Anolis sagrei: one gene and its partner. The protein of the gene in region 1 purifies or fractionates together with the protein of each later gene. This does not show direct contact. Links are inferred from orthologs where the notes say so. Each region holds a gene or a part of one and is shown on either strand. Other genes may lie near its edges.

Evidence for each region. The genes of interacting proteins can lie anywhere in the genome.
Region 2: the proteins of ABCA1 (region 1) and NR1H2 purify together in Homo sapiens (affinity purification with western blotting; 3 studies listed by BioGRID and IntAct, with this or other methods). This does not show direct contact. The link is inferred for Anolis sagrei from reciprocal best matches to the Homo sapiens genes ABCA1 and NR1H2.

The regions. Positions count from the first base shown.
Region 1 is NC_090022.1:158,797,276-158,807,449, forward strand, and holds the start of ABCA1 (phospholipid-transporting ATPase ABCA1), read right to left. Parts: upstream 4,539-10,174; 5' UTR 4,291-4,538; intron 1-4,290. UniProt on the Homo sapiens protein: Catalyzes the translocation of specific phospholipids from the cytoplasmic to the extracellular/lumenal leaflet of membrane coupled to the hydrolysis of ATP.
Region 2 is NC_090026.1:28,207,826-28,217,896, forward strand, and holds the start of NR1H2 (oxysterols receptor LXR-beta), read right to left. Parts: upstream 4,480-10,071; 5' UTR 4,357-4,479; intron 705-4,356; 5' UTR 587-704; intron 1-586. UniProt on the Homo sapiens protein: Nuclear receptor that exhibits a ligand-dependent transcriptional activation activity. Binds preferentially to double-stranded oligonucleotide direct repeats having the consensus half-site sequence 5'-AGGTCA-3' and 4-nt spacing (DR-4).

The sequences.
Region 1 (10,174 bases):
ACTGTATATCCACTCACAAATATTTAATTGGGTTTTTTTTACTATATTTCTTCCATTTTCCTATATAAATATCCTATATAAACATCTCCAAAACTGAGGAATTGCAGAGGTATTTTTGTCAGTGATTGGTGGCACGAAAATAGGGTGCATCTCACCATTGAAAAACTGTGTCTTACAATTGAAGAAATAACAGTATTTTTAAATGTTTGTCTTATTTAAAGTGTTTATTAGGTTGTGTTATATGATGGTTAGATGCCTTGACTCCCTATGGGGAGAAAGGTGGGATAGAAATAACTGTTGTTGTAGTAATTATTACACTGTGTAACTGAAATGCATATGTGTTAAGTACACTATTGAACTGTTTACATATGTAACACAATTCTGTTCCTGTGTTACAAATGCCATTTCCTAAATTGGTTCTATCATCAAAACATGGACAATGTTTATTAAACTGCAAACACTCTGTTTTTGTGGGACATCCTGCAGCACATTTTGGTAGTTTTTCAATTAATATCTCATAATTGAGTCTCAACCAATTCAACCGATTCTGTGGCAGCCACAAAAATGAAGTTTTGGGGGGATAACAACTACTTTTAAAGTAAGTGCCACACAATTAAACAGGAAATAACACTTTCAAACCAGGAACAGAAAAAAATTCAAATTTCGTTACATAATGTTATTATTTTCTCCCTAACAAACATACAATGGGCCCTTGGTTTTTTCCTGAAATTTGGTTCCAGGATTGGGTGCCTTTAGGATATTTTAGTCACTGAATACAATGTTGTCCTTGTGTTGTCAAAGGCTTTCATGGCCGGAATCATTGGGTTACTGTGAGTTATCCAGACTGGGTTGTTGTAGGTCTTTTCGGGCTATGTGGCCATGTTCTAGAGGCATTTTCTCCTGATGTTTCGCCTGCATCTATGGCAAGCATCCTCAGAGGTAGTGAGGTGTGTTGGATTTAGGAAAATGGATTTATATATCTGTGGAATGACCAGGGTGGGACAAAGGACTCTTGTCTGCTTGTCCCACCCTGGTCATATATAAACCCATTTTCGTAGTTTCAACAGATCTCACTACCTCTGAGGATGCTTGCCATAGAAGCACGCAAAACGACAGGAGAAAATGCCTCTAGAACATGGCCATATAGCCCGAAAAAACCTACAACAACCCAGTGATTCTGGCCATGAAAGCCTTCGACAATACATTTTCCAGGCTGTATGGCCATATTCAAAAACTCTAAAATCAAAACAGTAAATAAAGAACAACACTCAGAAAACAGTGGAATTCCAGACAGGAAACAATCAAAACCAACTAACACCACCCAACAAAGGATTCCCCTGGACAGGAAGCAGCCAGGCTTTGAAGCTGCAAGGCCATTCAATGCTAATCAAGTCAGCCAATTGCAACATTCACACTTGCCTCAAGCAGACAAGAGTTCATTCTCTCACCCTGGACATTCCACAGATATATAAACCCCACTTACCTAGTCTCTAACAGACCTCACAACCTCTGAGAATGCCTGCCATAGATGTGGGCAAAATGTCAGGAGGGAATGCTTCTGGAACATGGCCATACAGCCCAGAAAACTCACAGCAACCCAATGTATCTTTGGTGTCTGCTGGAATTTGGTTCCAGGACACCCCACTGTATAACATTACACATATGGAAGCCTGACTGCACATACATGTGTGTTTGTACACCTTCAAATCACCTTACGGTGACCCTGTGGATTTCCGAGGGTTTTCTTAGGCAAGGACTAGCCAGAGGTGGCTTTGCTTGCATACATGCAGCTTAAAGTAAAGCCCTAGCCTGGCAAAGACCTCCACAGACAGGCATACAGGCATTTGCCCGGCTGCTGGCTTTCATTAAGCTCTCCTTCCAAGCCGGGGTTACTCTCGGTCATTTCGTGCAACTTGGAGCTGTGTGGGTTTGTTTTTTGTCTTGTGCCTTTTTCTCTGTCAGTACATCTTGCGCCTCGTCTCAGCAGCCCCAACTGGAGGCACTTTCCGAGAAAGCAGCAGCAGCAGAGGAAAAAAGTATTTGTGAGAGAAAGAGAAAGAAAGAAAGAAAGAAAGAAAAGTGTGTGACAGAGAGAAAGGAAGACAAGTGTGTGAGAGAAAGGAAGGGTGATGCTTTATATACTGATAACATAATAATACCATATTTAATATGTCTTCTTTTACTTCCATATTGATTTTGTATTGTTATTTTGCCGATCTAATTTTAAAGAGATTGTTAATCTTATTACTGTTTATTGTTTGGGTTGTTTTGAGCTACTCTGAGTCCCCTTGGGGAGATGGGGCAGGAAACAAATAAAGATGATAGTGATGATGATGGTGGTGGTGATTATTAGAAAAGTGTGTGTGTGTATGTGTGTGAGAGAGAGAGGAAGAAAGAAGGAAGGAAAGAAGGAAGGAAGGACGAAAAAGTGTGTGAGGAAGGAAGGAAAGAGGGAGGAGGGAAGAAAAGAAAAGTGTGTGTGAGAGAAAGGATGGAAGGAAGAAAAGAAAGAAAAGTGTGTGAAAGACAGAAAGAAGGAAGGAAGGGAAAAAAGTGTGTGTGAGAGAGGACAGAAGGAAGGAAGGAAGGAAGGAAGGAAGGAAGGAAGGAAGGAAGGAAGGAAGGAAAGAAAAGTGTGTGTGAGAGAGGACGGACGGAAGGAAGGAAGGATGAATGTGTGAGAGAGGAAGGAAGGAAGGAAGAAAAGTGAGTGAGTGTGCGAGAGAGGGAGAGAAGTGTGTGAGAGAAAGGAAGAAAAGTGTGTGAGAGAAAGGAAGGAAAGGAAGAGAACAATGTGTGAGAGAAGAAGAAAGGAAGGAAAGAAGGAAAGTGTGTGTGAGAGAGAGAGAGAGAAAAGTGAGTGTGTGAGAGAGAGAGAAAGGAAGAAAAGTGTGTGAGAGAAAGGTAGGAAGGAAGAAAAGTGTGTGAGAGGAAGGAAGGAAGGGATGTGTGTGTGTGTGTGAGAGAGAGAGAAAGTGTGTGAGAGAAAAGAAGGTAGGAAGAAAAGCAAGAAAAGTGTGTAAAGAGGAAGGAAGGAAGGAAACTATGTGTGTGAGAGAGAGAGAAGTGTGTGAGAGAGGAAGGAAGGAAGGAAGGAAGGAAGGAAGGAAGGAAGGAAGGAAGAAAAGAATAAAAGGTTGTGTGTGTGTGTGTGAGAGAGAGAGAGAGAGAGAGAAAAGGTGTGAGAGAAAGGAAGAAAGGGAACAATGTGTGAGAGAGGAAGGAAGGAAGGAAGGAAGGAAGGAAGGAAGGAAAGTGTTTTTGAGAGACAGAGAGAGAGAGGAAGGAAGGAAGGAAGAAAGGAAGGAAGGAAGGAAGGAAAGGAAGAAAACTGTGTACAGAGGAAGGAAGGAAGGAAGGAAGGAAGGAAGGAAGGAAGGAAGGAAGGAAGGAAGGAGTAGAGAGAGGAAGGAAGGAAAATGTGTGTGTATGAGAGAGAGAAAGAAAAGTGTGTGAGAGAGAAAAAGAACAAAAGCAGCTTTCCTCTGCTTTGTGTCTCAATACTTCCTGTATGTCTTTCTTCCCTTTCTTTTACATGCCCAATCTTCAAAGTTCAATGTCAATGAAGCTTGTGGGTACACCAACACCATAGAGACATTTGGGGGAAGCTGGACAACGAGAGTCCTGAGGGATGTGTGCTTTTCCTTTGGTGAGCGATTGCTCCATCTCCACTAGAAAACCAGGGCAGTTTGACCCCACTTTTTCATTGCCAAGACTCAATGCTATTGGGTTCCTGGGAGTTGTAGCCTAGGAATTGTCCCTGGGAGTTGGGCAGAGAAGGCTAAAGGTGATGCAGAACTATAGGATTCCCATAGGATTGAGCTGTGGGGCTGGGACAGCTCCCCAAACGTTCCCTTTCCTAACCCATCACCGCCTTCTTCTTCTTTGTCCTTTCCAAGCCAGAAAGGACAAAGGAGTGTGTTTTCCCCTCCTCCGCCTTTCCAGTAACTCCCATCCAAACAAACCCCCCAACTTTGGGTCTCAAGCCACTCTTGACCCCGGGTTCGAATCCCGATGACCCCAAATTGGGTCAGAAAAGCCTTGGGACACCTTGCCAACGACTCAATTCCCCCACATTTCCTTGCCTGGAGCTAAGAAGACAAACAATTGACGGGGCAGGCAGGAGAAAGCACTCTGCACACGCTCAGACATCCTCTGGTCTCTTTTTGTTCTCAGTACACAAAGATCCACCCGTGGGACAAAGAGGGTGAGAAGAAATAACCCCCTTCTGACTCTCCTCCCCAAGTTTGCCCCCCTCCACCCTGTTGTTGTTGTTGTTGTTATGATTACCTCCTCGCCAGTTTGATGGGGAGGCGATTTTTCTCTCCCTCCGGCCAGGAATTGGAAAGACCTCCCGGAGTAGATCGGGGAGCCACTCGATCGGGGGCTCCTCCGGCTTCCTTTGTGGCTCCCACCGACGCGGCTGGGGCCAAACCAGGGCCAGTCCCGGACCCGGAGCGCCTTATATAGATCCCGCCGGCGCTGCGCCGAGGAGGTTATTATCGGTCAAGCGCGGCTTCCTTTCTGCCGCTCTGTTTATGTGTGGCCGTCACTCAGCCGCGGCACGTGGAGGGCTGGGACCGCCTCTTAAAGGGGACGCGTACATTTGGGGGGGGGGAGTAGAGAGCCCCCACCAATCTCTGCTGCTGTTCTTGTTGTCATTGGGGAACTCCAAGCCCTTTCTCACCCATGGGGAACCCCCAAACGAACCTACCCCAGGATTTCTTAAGATGGGGTATGGCCACTGCTTTCCTCTGAGGCTGAGAGAGTGTGACTCGCCCAAGATCACCCAGTAGGTTCCCAAGGCTGAGTGGGGATTGCAGCTCCACTTCCCAGACCTCAATCTATAGCACTATGTAACAAAATTTGATTTTTTTTTCTGTTCCTGGTTTGAAAGTCTTATAAAAGGTAAACGTTTTCCCCTGACGTGAAGTCCGGTCATGTCCGACTCTGGGTGTGGTGCTCATCTCCATTTCTAAGCCGAAGAGCTGGCGTTGTCCGCAGACCCTTCAAGGTCATGTGGCTGGCATGACTGCATAGAGCACTGTTACCTTCCCACTGGAGCAGGCCCGTAGCCAGGATTTCGATTCAAGGGCTGAGTTTGTTTGGGGGGGGGGGGGGGGGGGGCTGAGTCTGCGTAAAAGAGGGTCTACCCTAGCAAACGTTTTATATTGTTACCCCAATATCCCCATGCATATGGGAAATATTGAGTATGGTGATCAGATCATGATATGAATAAACATAACAGTTTAAACAGTAAGGCCTTTTCGTGAACCACCATGAGAATTTCAGGGGAGGGGCTGAAGCCCCTCAAGCCCCCCCCCCCCCCCCCCAGCTACATGCCTGCACTGGAGCAGTACTTATTGATCTATTCAGGGCTGGCTCGTCCATTACGCGAAGTAAGCGGTCGCAGAACACTTTTTTTTGCCAGGGGCGCAGAGGAACCTCTGTAAATGCCCCTCGACCGCCACTTGAGGAGCACCCCCTCAGCTCACAACAGCCCTAGCAGTCCGGGGGGCGCCTTGGCTTTCTTGCCTCGCTGCCGGGTGATCCTCTTCCCAAAGGGGCCAGACCCTTGAGCCTCGCCTAGCGCCTCTTGTTCCTGCTCCACCCGGCCACCGGGTGCGCGAGCAGAGCCTGTGCTCAATCGTTCTCTGCGTTCGATCCCTTCCCCATGACCGGCTCTCATGACCGGCTCTCATGACCGGCTCCCATAGAATCATAGAATCATAGAATCAAAGAGTTGGAAGAGACCTCATGGGCCATCCAGTCCAACCCCCTGCCAAGAAGCAGGAATATTGCATTCAAATCACCCCTGACAAATGGCCATCCAGCCTCTGCTTAAAAGCTTCCATGACCGGCTCCACCCGCCTCCTCTCCTTTCCCCAATCTGCGGGTGGGCCAAGGGGCGGAGCCGTCGCGCCTGGCCCACTTCGGGTCCAGAGGCATGTCTGAAGACCCCAGCATGCGCACCAAAAGTCACCTCTTCTCCTGACTTTCTCTTCAGCCATTGGGACCAAGAGAGAGAGAGAAAGAGAGAGACCCTCCAGCTGGAGGTGTCTCCTACCTCCGCTCCCTCCTTTGTTTTTGCACCTATCTTCAGGAAAGGTGGGCATCTCCACCTCTGTCTCTCTCTCTCTCTCTCTCGGTCCCAATGGCTGAGGAGAAAGTCAGGAGAAGAGGTGACTTTTGGTGCACACGCCGGGGTCTTCAGGCACGCCTCTGGATCCAAAGCGGGCCAGGCAAGGGAGCAAGTGTGGCAAGTGTAGTTACTGGGATGTATAGTTCATCTACAATCAAAGAGCATTCTGAACTCCACCAATGATGGAACTGAACCAAATATGGTACACAGAACTCCCACGACGAACAGAAAATATATATCAATGATTGGTTGGGGGGGGGGGGGGATACTGTTTGCTTACCATTGAAAATTACCTAGGGCCGCCTCTCTACTCACATTTGCATGTTTTCAAACTGCTAGGTTGGCAGAACCTGGGGCTAACAGTAAAAAGTCTTATAAGCATAAATATATACATAGATATACATGTATGTATTTATTTATTTCATATACTTGTACCCCACCCTTCTCACCCCTGGGCGGCCTCAAAGCAAACACCATTCTGTGCCCTTATAATGATAAAAACAATCAACCAATTCATTAAAACAAAACATTAAAGAAACAGTTGTTAAAACACGCCAATAAAAATCCGGATTCAGGTCAATTCATTGTCACTTCGAAATTGCTTATGTCTTCTTCATACAAGCCGCTGTTCAATGGTCAAATGCAAGATCCCACAGCCAAGTCTTAAGTTTCCTTCTAAAGGCAGGAGGGAGGTGGCCAGTCTGATGTCTTTGGGGAGGAAATTCCACAGATGGGGGCCACTGTTGAGAAGGCCCTCTCTCGTCTCCACCAATAGCATTTGCGACGGCGGTGGGATCAAGAGCAGGGCCTCTCCAGATGATCTTAAACTTCATGATGATTCGTAGCAGGAGATACATTCGGACATATAGTCTGGGCCAGAACCGTTTAGAGCTTTAAAGGTTACAACCAGCACTTTGAATTGTGCTCGATAGCGGATCAGCAGCCAGTGGAGCTGGTGTAATAGGAGTTGTATACTCCCTGTACGCCACTCTGGTGTGCAACCTGGCTGCCAACTGTTGGACTAGTTGAAGTGTCCGGGCAGTCTTCAAAGTCAGCCCCATGTAGAGCGCATTGCAGTAGTCTAATTGGGATGTAACAAGAGTGTGGCCCACTGTGGCCAAGTCAAACTTCCCAAGGTACATGCAGACATATCCACACAATATCTTTCTATTTATCTATCTGTGGCACAGCTAGTTAGTAGCCAAGGAGGCTGTCCGAACCTTGAACTGGTGTTTGGTTGCTGTGTCGGGCCGGATGAGAGCTAACCAATTGAAATTGAATCCAGACAAGACAGAGGTCCTACTGGTCAGTCGTAAGGCCGAACAGGGCATAGGGTTACCGCCTGTGTTGGATGAGGTTACACTACACATGAAGACAGGTACGCAGCTTGGGAGTGATCCTGGACTCATCGCTGAGCCTGGAACCCCAGGTCTCGGTGGTGGCTGGGATCGCTTTTGCACAGTTAAAACTTGTGCGCCAGCTGCACCCGTACCTTGGGAAGTTGGATCTGGCCACAGTGGTCCATGCTCTTGTCACATCCCGGATAGATTACTGCAACGCACTCTACGTGAAGACTGTTCAGAAACTGCAATTATTCCAAAGGGTGGCAGCTAGATTACTCACCGGAGCGTCATACAAGCAGCATACCCACCCACCCCCCATGGTGTCCGCTCCATTGGCTGCCGATCCAATTCCGAGCACAATTCAAAGTGCTGGTCTTGACCTATAAAACTCTATACGGCTCTGGTCCAGCATACCTGTCTGAACGTATCTCCTTCAACGTCCCACCTCAGAGCTTAAGATTTTCTGGGGAGGCCCTGCTCTCGGCCCCGCCTTTGTCTCAAACACATATGGCAGGGACAAGGGACAGGGCCTTCTCGATGGTGGCCTCCCGCCTGTGGAATTCGCTTCCTGGGAAAATTAGGTCATCGTCATCCCTCCTCACCTTTAGAAAGAAGGTAAAAACATGGTTGTGGGACCAGGCCTTTGGGCAATTAGGTTAAAGGACTATTGATAATGTTTGACTATGGCTTGGAAGTGAATTTGGATAAGTTAAGCAGAGTAATCATTAGTATATGGCTAAATAAATAGCCACCAGACTGGCAATAGTTAAATGGATCATAAGTATACTGTTTAATCTTTATTTCTTAATGTTCATGTTTTTAATTATTAAATTTTCTATTTTGTATTTTATGATGCTGCAATGAAGCCGCCCTGAGTCCCCCTAGGGGTTGAGAAGGGTGGGGTAAAAATGTTCAAAATAAATAAATAACTGCTTTAAATTACTACTGACCAAGAGCCGGCGTTGTCTGTAGACACCTCCAAGGTCATATGGCCCGAATGACTGCATGGAGTGCCGTTACCTTCCCACTGGAGCAGTACCTATTGATCTACTCACATTTGCATGTTTTCGAACTGCTAGGTTGGCAGAAGCTGGGGCTGACAGCAGAAACTCAAGGCGCTTCCTGGATTTCAACCTTTGACCTTTCTGTCAACAAACTCAGCAGCTCAGCGGTTTAATCCACTGCGTCACCAGTTATGTGCATTCAAATTATTTGTGAGCTTTGGCAGCCCTAAGTAAAACCTGTCACAGGGTATTCTTGGTAAGATTTGTTCATAATGCTTAGGTCAGCATGCTACAACATAAGGAAAATGAACATCATGATGACCTAAGCATTATGAGCAATAAACGAAATGGAACTGATCAGAATTGTCCTTCCAATCTTTTATTTGTCCTGCAGAGCAAAACATACAGTTTCCTACACAACACTAGGTTCTCCAGACGTCGATCTGCAAATCCAATCAACAATACCCAATATAAACAGTGGAGAGTCAAACAGACCCTATTCCCCTAACTCAAGCAAGGGCAAACTTCGCCTCGTCAGGTGTTTTGGACTTCAACTCCCACAATTCCTAACATCTGGTAAGTTGGCTGGGATTTCTGAGAGTTGAAGTCCAAAACACCTGGAGGGCCAAAGTTTGTCCATGCCTGCCCTATATGAGCCTCAGTGTTTCCCTCCATATGGCAAATGCCAGCTTAGGGAAGTGAAGTGTGTGGGACAATTGTGGAAATGACACAGAGGTATCTCCACTACCCGTGGGCTGCAGCTGCTGTTAATCTATATCTTCTCTATATATAAAAATGCACTGTGCTTAATGAGTACCTTAAAAACAAAAGAACCAATGAACGAAATCACACCAAATTTGGCAACAAAATGTCTCACAACACAAGGAGTGACCATCACTCAAACAATTATGATTTTGTCATTTGAGAGTTGTAGTTGCTGGGATTTATAGTTCACCTAGAATCAAAGAGCATTCTGAACTCCATCAATGATAGAATTGAATCAAATTTGGCACACAGAACTCCCATGACCAACAGAAAATACTGGAAGGGTTTGGTGGGCATTGGCCTTGAGTTTGGGAGTTGTAGTTCACCTATATCCAGAGAGCACTGCGGACTCAAACAATGATGGATCTGGACCAAACTCTACACGAATACTCAATACACCCAAATATGTACACAGATGAAGTTTGGGGGAAATAGACCTTGACATTTGGGAGTTGTGGTCACTGGGATTCACAGTTCACCTACAATCAAAGAGCATTCTGAACCCAACGAATGACAGAATCTGGGCAAACTTCCCACACAGAACCCCCACAACCAACAGAAAATACTTAAGGCCATCCAATCCAACTCCCTTCAGCAAGGCAAGAAAACGTAATCAAAGTCCTCCTGACAAAGAGCCATCCAGCCATAGATATCGATAGATAGATAGATAGATAGATAGATAGATAGATAGATAGAATTCACACACACACAGATATAGTATCATAGATTTGAAAGGGACCCTTAAAGAAGGACAATGATATGTTGCATGTTCCAGGGTGGGCAAACCAGACACTCTCCACATCAACACTGACAAAGAAACCGCAAGAAATACTGTTTACCCACAAGCATAAAGACATTGCATATATTAGAAACCAAGACTTTCTCATTACTTTATTTTCCAGATCAACAGACTGGGCCAC
Region 2 (10,071 bases), on another chromosome or scaffold:
ACACAACAGCCAGCAAAGTGATCTTGCCTTGTTGTGTTTTAAATAATAATATCGTTCATACTTGAGTATAAGCCAGCACGGATATAAGCTGAGATACATTTTATCACAGAAAATTGGGAAAACATATTGACTCGAGTATAAGCCGAGGGTGGGAAACGCAGAAGCTACTGGTAAATTTCAAAGTGAAAATAGATAAGCACAATGGTAAATTTGGGACTGGTTTTAGTGGCCAAACAGATAGACCTATAGCCTTATTTGTTTTAGCATGGGATTATAGCTGGTGATTGCCCTCATTTCCCCAGGTCACTAGGGCATCTTTGTTGAGGTCAGCAAAGCATTGGCAATGAACAGGGGCTCTCCAAAGTGCCGTCACCAGCTTTCGCAGTGGCAAAGGACAACCCAGGTGAGTTCCATTCCCTTTCCCTTGCCCCACAGAGCTCTCTCTTTTCCTTCTCCCTATTACCCCTTCCCTACATGTTTTTCCATTGCCCCTTTTTTATACACCGCTTCTCCCGCCTCCGCTTTTTGATCAATTAATTTGGTGAAAATGTAGAAGAAAGGCAATTCTCCTCAAATACCGTCTCACCTTTCTCCCCACCGTGGGGAAGAGACGCAGCTAGTTGACAATCACATCACAAGATTTATGGGGCAGAGGAAGTAACATGGCAGTGTAGCAGGCGTGCAAACTATGTACAGGATACAACCTGAAAGGGAGAGATGAGCCAATGTCAACAAATGGCACCCTGTTGTCTACTATATCATCAGGCTTTATACATATAATGGCTGGACACTAATCCCAGAAATAGGTGATATCAATTTCTTCAACATATTTAATGAGATTAAACTCCAATAAAAGTTTTTAAAAAATGAATAAATAAATAGCTATTTTTTAACTTGAGAGAACACCTCTGTAAGAATGTCTAGGTCTTCCGGCACAACTTGGAATGACCACAGTGTATGAGTTTTGGATTATGTGATTTTACAGTACTCGCTTATCCAACGTTCGCTCATCCAGCGTTCTGCCTTCCGCCCGGATCTACAGCTGTTTCAAAGCATTGCAATGTTTTGGTGCTAAATTTGTAAATACAGTAATTACTACATAACTTTACCGTATAGTGAACTTCTTTTTCTGTCAATTTGTTGTAAAACATGATGTTTTTGTGCTTAATTTGTAAAATCATAACTTCAATTGACGTTTAACAGGCCTTTCCTTAATCCCTCCTTACTATCCAACACCAGAGCCCCTGGTGGCGCAGTGGGTTAAACTCCTGAGCCAGCAGGACTGAAGACCGACAGGTCGCAGGTTTGAATCCAGGGAGAGGCGGATAAGCTCCCTCTATCAGCTCCAGCTCCTCATGCGGGGACATGAGAGAAGCCTCCCACAAGGATGATAAAAACATCAATTCATCCGGGCGTCCCCTGGGCAACGTCCTTGCAGACGGCCAATTCTCTCACACCAGAAGCGACTTGCAGTTTCTCAAGTCGCTCCTGACACAACAAAAAAAAATCCAACATTTTCGCTTATCCAACGTTCTGCTGGCCTGTTTATGTTGGATATGCGAGACTCTACTGCAATACTTATACTAGGATGTTTTTAATGCTTAAATGTTCTTTATGTCTCGTGTTTAATGGTTTTAGGCAAGCCCCCACACTGTCCTCCTTTTGGAAGGAACTGACAACCTGGATGATCCAGCAAGCTGTTGAGAACAACTAGTCCCTAGTCCCAGTCCTTAGGTTGCTAGATGGTACTCTGTTTAGCACTTCATCCACTTCCCCGGCCCTATGACACGTTGTTTGCATTAACCCTCAACCAGCCCTTTTCTACCCGATTATGTCTATTTTTGTACTCCAGGCCATTGCTATTGTTCAATCTCTCCTAATGAAGCCCGAATGAAGTTGGTTTTATATTTTTATTTTTAGTGTATTTTATCAGGTTTTTGTATTTTATGATTTTTTTGTTTGTTATTTTGTTTATTAAGTTATAGCTGGTTGTTCTATGTTGTCTAATTTGCTTTGTCTTGTAAATTGTTTGTATGGTTTTCCTTTTGGCGCTGAATGTTTGCCATATTTGTTGAAAACTGCCCTGTGTCCCTTCGGGGAGATAGTACAGTCTATAAATAAAATTATTATTATTGTTATTATTATTATTATTGACACAAAAATGCAGTATGTCACAGCAAACAAGATATATATACTAGATTTCATTATTATTATTATTATTAAATTATTTTAAATTTAAAGTTATATGTTGGTGTTTGGTTATTATGATTTTTTTTTCTGTCTACATGTATTGAGTCGCCCCCCCTCCCCCCGGATGAGAAAGGTGGCATATAAATCTATATAAATAAAAATGTAATGTTCGTTTGTGGGATTAACAGAACTCAAAAACCACTGGACGAATTGACACCAAATTTGGACACAAGACACCTAACAACCCAATGTATGTCCTTCACTCATAAAAACACAGCAGAAGGGACTTAAAAAGCCCCAAAAAGCTAAATGACAGTAAAAAAGGGAAGAAAGAGGGAGGGAAGGGGGGAAAAAAAGAAAGAAAGAAAAAGGAAGAAGGAGGGAAAGAAAGAAGGAAAGGGAGAAGGAATCATGGAAGCAAAGAGAAGGAAGGAAAGAGGTAGAGAAGGAAGAAAGGAGAGAAAGGGGGAGGGAAAGAAAAAGGGAGGAGGAAGGAAAGTTAGAGAAAGAAGGAAGGAGAGAAGGAAAGATAAAAGGGAAAGAAGGAAGAAAAGAGGGAGCGAAAGAAGGGGGGAAGATGTAGAGAAAGAGGGAGGGAAGGAAAGAAGGAAAGAGAGAAGGAAGAAAAGAGAGACAGCAGAAGAGAAAGAAAAAGGGGTAAGGAAGGAAAGAGATAGAGAAGGAAGGAAGAAGAAAAGGAAAGACAGGAAGGAAGGAAGGAAGGAAGGAAGGAAGGAAGGAAGGAAAGAGGGAGTGAAGGAAGGAGGGAAAGAAGGAGAGAAAGAGGGAAGGTTGGCCACAGCAACGTGTAGCGGGTACAGCTAGTATCTATATAAATAAAAATGTAATGTTCGTTTGTGAGATTAACAGAACTCAAAAACCACTGGACGAATTGACACCAAATTTGGACACAAGACACCTAACAACCCAATGTATGTCCTTCACTCAAAAAAATGGATTTTGTCATTTGGGAGTTGTAGTTGCAGAGATTTATAGTTCACCTACAATCAAAGAGCATTCTGAACCCTACCAACGATGGAATTGAACCAAACTTGGCACACACAACTCCTATGACTAACAGAAAATACTCAAAGGATTTGGTGGGCAGTGTCTTTTGGTTTTGGAGTTGTAGTTCACCGACATCCAGAGATCACTGTGGACTCAAACAATGATGAATCTGGACCAACCTCTACATGAATACTTAATATGTCCAAATGTGAACACTGGTAGAGTTTGGGGAAAATAGAATCTTGACATTCGGGAGTTGTAGTTGCTGGGATTTATAGTTCACCTTCGGAAGCTTTCGGAAGCTCTAGGTGCTCTTACTGCCTATTACAGGGAAAACCAGCTGATCCCTAACCCATCTAAAACACAGACATGTGCCTTTCATCTCAAGAACAGACAAGCATCCCGAGCTTTGAGGATCACCTGGGAATGAATCCCACTGGAGCTACCGGCTGTTAGGAATTGTGGGCGTTGAAGTCCAAAACACCTGGAGTGTAGAGGCTTCATCCAAGTGCATATCCCTCTCCAAAGCTGTCTTTAGACCAAACATGGGCAAATTTGGGCCCTCTGGAAGTTTTGGACTCCAACTCCCACAATTCCTAACAGCCGGTAGGAATTGCTGCCAGGGCCCTTCCAGACAGGCCCTGTATCCCAGGATCTGATTCCAGTTTTTCTGCTTTAAACCGGATTACATTAGTTCACACTGCCAGATAACAGCCGGTAGGCTGTTAGGAATTGTGGGAACCGGCTGTTAGGAATTGTGGGAGTTGGAGTCCAAAACTTCCAGAGGGCCCAAGTTTGCCCAGACTAGATTGACACTTGAAACTGCTATGTCCCAACGCGATGGAATTCTGGGATTTTGTAATTCTGGCGAACTACAAATCCCATTAAGCCATGGCAGTCAAAGAGGGGACAAACTGCATTATTTCTACAGTGTTTGGGATCCCCAAAAGGCTGCAAATCAAGGGGGAGATGGCGATCCTCCTCGGGTGTTTTTGTATTATTATTATTATTATTATTATTATTATTATTATTGTGGGGGTGGGCATAAAATACCCACTTTTGGGGGGAGATCAGCCTGTAAAGATCTCGGATCCCACAGATCGGATCCCTTCCCTTTTCCTGCTCCCGCCACCTCTGTTTACCTTTCCTCTTGTTTACCTGTTTCCTCTGCAACTTGCATCAAAAAAGTGAAAACACGGTCATCCTCGCATTCAGGAGCCAGTCGCTTCCGGGAACCCTTTGCCAGGCGTCACTTCCCTTTCCAGCCCGGGAAAAACCTCCCCTTCGTCGCCGGCGCCTCCCCGGGTTGGCGTCGCTGGCGGCCGCGCGTCTACACTGCAGAGCCAACGCAGATTAGCACCGCTTGAACGGCCCTGGCTCAGTGGATCCTGGGAGTTGTAGTTTGGCCAGGCATCAGCACTCTTTGGCAGAGGGAGGGGTGATAGTCTAAAGGCCTTTAGAAAATGACATCTCCTTGGATTCGCCATAGCAACTCAAGCGGTGTTAAACTGAATTAAGTCAACAGTGTGGATGCACCCTGGGAGTTGTAGTTTGGCCAGGCATTAGCACTCTTTGAGAGAGGAGTCTAAAGGCCTTTGGAAAACGATATCTCCTTGGATTCGCCATAGCAGTTCAAGCGGTGTCAAACTGAATTAAGACAACAGTGTGGATGCACCCTGGGAGTTGTAGTTTGCCGAGGCAACGTAACTCTTGCAGAGAGGTCTAAAGGCCTTTGGAAAACTCCAACTCGCTGGATTCTCCATAGCAGTTCAAGCGGTGTCAAACTGAATTAAGTCAATAGTGTGGATGCACCCTGGGAGTTGTAGTTTGGCGAGGTATTGGCACTCTTTGGCAGAAGGAAGGGTGATAGTCTAAAGGCCTTTGGGGAACGACATCTCCTTGGATTCGCCATAGCAGCTCCAGCGGTATCAAACTGAATTAAGTCAACAGTGTGGATGCACCCTGGGAGTTGTAGTTTGGCGGGGCATTGGCACTCTTTGGCAGAGGGAGGTCTAAAGCCCTTGGGAAAACTCCAACTCGCTGTATTCGCCATAGTAGTAGTCAAACTGAATTAAGTCAACAGTGTGGATGCACCCCCTTAAAGACCAACGACAGCGGTTTGGGCACCATTGGGATATAATGCAGTTTGGAACTGCATTTTACTGCCAGGGCCCTTCTAGACAGGCCCTGTATCCCAGGATCTGATTCCAGGTTTTCTGCTTTAACCTGGATTATATTAGTCCACACTGTCAGATAATCTTTAAAAGTGCATTATATGGCAGTATAGATGGGGTCAGAGATCACCAAAATACACAACTCCCAGGATAAGGATGCATTTAGCCATAATGGTTAAAGTGGTGTCAAGCTGCATTAAATTCTACAGTGCAGATGCATCCAAAGTGATAGCCCCTAAGGTCCTTTCTACACTGCTATATAATCCAGTTCAAAGATAATCTGGATTTTATATGGCAATGTAGAAGGAGCCTGAACTATATCCTACACGGTGTTGTTGGCTGTCTCCTATCCAAATACTAACCAGGGCTGACCCTGCTTAGCTGCCAAGATCAGAGGACATCAGAGACCTTTGTGCCATTGACCCCCACTTTCTAGGTCTCTAGGTGTTTGTTTTTTTGGACTTCAACTCCCATAAGCCCCAGCCAGCTTGGCCAAGGGCTAGGAATTCTGGGGGATGAAGTCCAAAACATTGGGAAGACCAGTGTTTGAAAAACACTGCATTTGGAGGAAGTGGCCCATGAATGCTCAGCTTCACACTGCCCTTGAGTGCATCTACATTGTGGAATTAATGCAGCTTGACACCACTTGGCTTAATGGTATGGAATCATGGGGGTTGCAGGTTATTTATTTATTTTCTGACATTTATATGCCGCCCTTCTCACCCCAAAGGGAACTCAGAGCGGCTTACAAGTTATATGTAAATACAATATATTATATTATTAGCATAGAACAATATTATTAACATACATTCCCATATTGTACTATACCAGTATACTGTAACATTATTAGTAATATAACATGTAATATTAAATATATAATAATTATAATTATAATATTAAATATATAATATTATAATATTAAATATATAATTATAATATATTAATATTATTAGTATTAGTATCAATATTATATGTTGTATACAATATATTAATTTGCCTCTATTGTACTATATATTAATTTATTGTACTATATATTAATTTATATTGTACAATATATTAATTTGCCTCTATTGTACTATACCAGTAACATTATTAGTAATATTACATGTAATATTAAATATATAATTATTATAATTATAATGTTAAATATATAAAATTATAATATTAAATATATAATTATTATAATTATAATATATTATTAATATCAGTATCAGTATTATATGTGTATACAATTTATTAATTTACCTCTATTGTACTATATATTAATTTATTGTACTATATATTAATTTATATTGTACAATATATTAATTTGCCTCTATTGTACTATACCAGTAACATTATTAGTAATATTACATGTAATATATATATATATATATATATATTATTTGTATACCGCTGTTCTCAGCCCTTAGGCGACTCACAACGGTTAACAACAAAAACAGCAAAAATTCAATGCTACCATCACACGGTATAAAAAACAGTTAACATCATAACATATTATAGAAAAGTATACAATTAACAACAGTATACAATTAACACCAATAGCCATTCACTAGCGTCTCATCACTAAAAACATGATCCAGATCCGTTATCCATTGTTCCATTCCTATGTTCATTACATTCATTGCACTGACTATTTTGCTTATAATATTAAATATATAATATTATAATATTATAATCAGAGTGGCTTACAAGTTATATGTAAATACAATATATTATATTATATTATTAGCATAGTGCAATATTAGTAACATACATTCCCATATTGTACTATACCAGTACACTGTAATATTATTAGTAATATTACATGTAATATTAAATATAGAATTATTATAATTATAATATTAAATATATAATATTATAATAATATATTATAATCTATTTTTATATATTATATATGTAATTCTTATAATTATAATATTATATATATAATAGTATAATATTATAATCAGAGCTGCTTACAAGTTATATGTAAATACAATATATTATATTATTAGCTTAGCACAATATTAGTAACATACATTCCCATATTGTACTATACCAGTACCGTGGAGGCCGTGACAGACTTTGTATTTCTAGGTGCAAAGATTACTGCAGACGCAGACTGTAGCCAGGAAATCAGAAGACGCTTACTTCTTGGGAGGAGAGCAATGTTCAGTCTCGATAAAATAGTGAAGAGTAGAGACATCAGACTGGCAACAAAGATCCGCCTACTCAAAGCCATGGTATTCCCTGTAGTAACCTACGGATGTGAGAGCTGGACCTTAGGGAAGGCTGAGCGAAGGAAGATCGATGCTTTTGAGCTGTGGTGTTGGAGGAAAGTGCTGAGAGTCCCTTGGACTGCGAGAAGATCCAACCAGTTCATCCTCCAGGAAATAAAGCCTGACTGCTCACTGGAGGGAAAGATACTAGAGACAAAGTTGAAGTACTTTGGCCACATCATGAGGAGACAGGAAAGCCTAGAGAAGACAATGATGCTGGGGAAAGTGGAAGGCAAAAGGAAGAGGGGCCGACCAAGGGCAAGATGGATGGATGGCATCCTTGAAGTGACTGGACTGACCTTGAGGGAGCTGGGGGTGGTAACGGCCGACAGGGAGATCTGGCGTAGGCTGGTCCATGAGGTCACGAAGAGTCGGAGACGACTGAACGAATGAACAACAACAACAACAACTATACCAGTATACTGTAACATTATTAGTAATAATACATGTAATATTAAATATATAATTATTATATTGTATTATTATTAGTATTAGTATTATTAGTATTAATATTATATGTGTATACAATATATTTATTTGCCTCTATGGCAAAATAAAGATCTTGTAAAACTATAACTCACACAATCCCTTCTCATTGGGCAAAAGAAGTGTCAATCTGCATTCTTTCAATAGGGTTGATCCAGTTTAATAACACAGGGGCGGGGCCTAATCGAAGCCACGCCCCTTTATTCCCCCTCCGACGAAGGAGGAAATGAAACTGCCGCCGGCAGCAGAGAGTGAGTGACGCATGCGCAGACGTGACATTGGAGTTTCGAATTTCTTTGGAGGAGTTTTAAAAGTTTCAGGTGAGTCGCTGTGATTCTTTCCTGGTTGGGGACTAACTAGGATTGAAAGAGGAGAGTGAAGACTGGTCTGTAAAATGATGGGAATCTAATTTCATCCATTCATCATCCCCAAAAGGGTGAGTTTTTTGGAGTTAGAGGGAGACATCCTTGGAAAAGTAAATGAATGGGAAAATATAGAGAGAGTAAAAAAGGGTGAAAGTAGTAATCCAGGGGATATAGCCCAGGTATGGGCAAACTTGGGCCCTCCAGGTGTTTTGGACTTCAACTCCCACAATTCCTAACAGCCGGTAGGCTGTTAGGAATTGTGGGAGTTGAAGTCCAAAACACCTGGAGGGCCCAAGTTTGCCCATACCTGGGCTATAGCCATGTATTTCTGTTTCACCTGTTTTTATCTGTATGCCATTTTTACCTGTATGTTATTTCCTGATCTTTGTAAAATGTGTTGGTTTTGTTACTGTAAAGGTTTGCCATTTTTGCGGCACAAATAACGTATTTACCTGGATTTTATTATTATGTAAATTTAAATATTTGCAACATGTTTACCTCGCCCTTCTCAACAACTGAGGGGGGGGGGGGACTCCGAGCGACTGACACTGGCAACAATTCGATGCCGCAATATCACAATATAAAACCATAAATACACAATAGATTAAAAACAATAACATTACTTATACAGTCATGTGGCCATTTGCATTATCATAACAATCATATGGTCCAGTTCAGTGTCCAAAGTGCCGTTGTGCCTGCTAGCCAAAAGCCTGGTTCTGAAACCACGATTTTAATTGTTTCCTGAAGGAAAGGAAGGAGGACGCTGATCTAATCTCGCTGGGGAGCGAATTCCACAAGTGAGGGGTCACCACCGAAAAGGCCCTGTTCCTCATCCCCACCAGACGCATTTGCGAGGCTGGTGGGACCGAGAGCAGGGCCTCCCCGGTGGATCTTAAACTATGGGGTGGAACGTAGAGGGAGATATGTTTGGACAAGTAAGCTGGGCCGGAGCCTTATAGGGCTTTATAGGCCAAGACCAACAATTTGAATTGTGCTCAGAACTTGACTGGCATATACTACCAATTACAGTGTTCTCTCACTACTTCGCAGTTCGTTTTTCACGTACTTGCTGTTTCACGGGTTTTTGCCTCCCAATTTATGAATGGTTTCTGTTGCCCAGAGCAGCGTTCTAATCCCGCCTTCTGGCAACAATGGAGTGTGGAAGGGAGTTTCACCCTTCTCTCTCTCTCTCGAGAGAGAGGCAGTCAATCAAGAGAGATTGCAACTAAAGCAGAGATAGCTAGCAAAAAAAAGAGGTGCGTGGTACTTTTAAATCTCTCCTCGCTTCTACCTCACCCTCAGAATGTGATATACATATATAGCATCTCTACTTTACGGATTTTCACTTTTCACGAGTCGTTCTGGAATGTAACACCCGCAATAAGTGAGGGAACACTGTATACCAGTGTTGCCTGGCTAATGCGTTTTTGTTGTGGCTCTTTCTGTTCTTCCTCTGTTTCCTCCATACACTTCCCCACCCCACTTTTATTTCTTTCCTTCTTCTCATCTATATAAATAAAAATGTAATGTTTGTTTGTGGGATTAACATAACTCAAAAACTACTGGACCAATTGACACTAAATT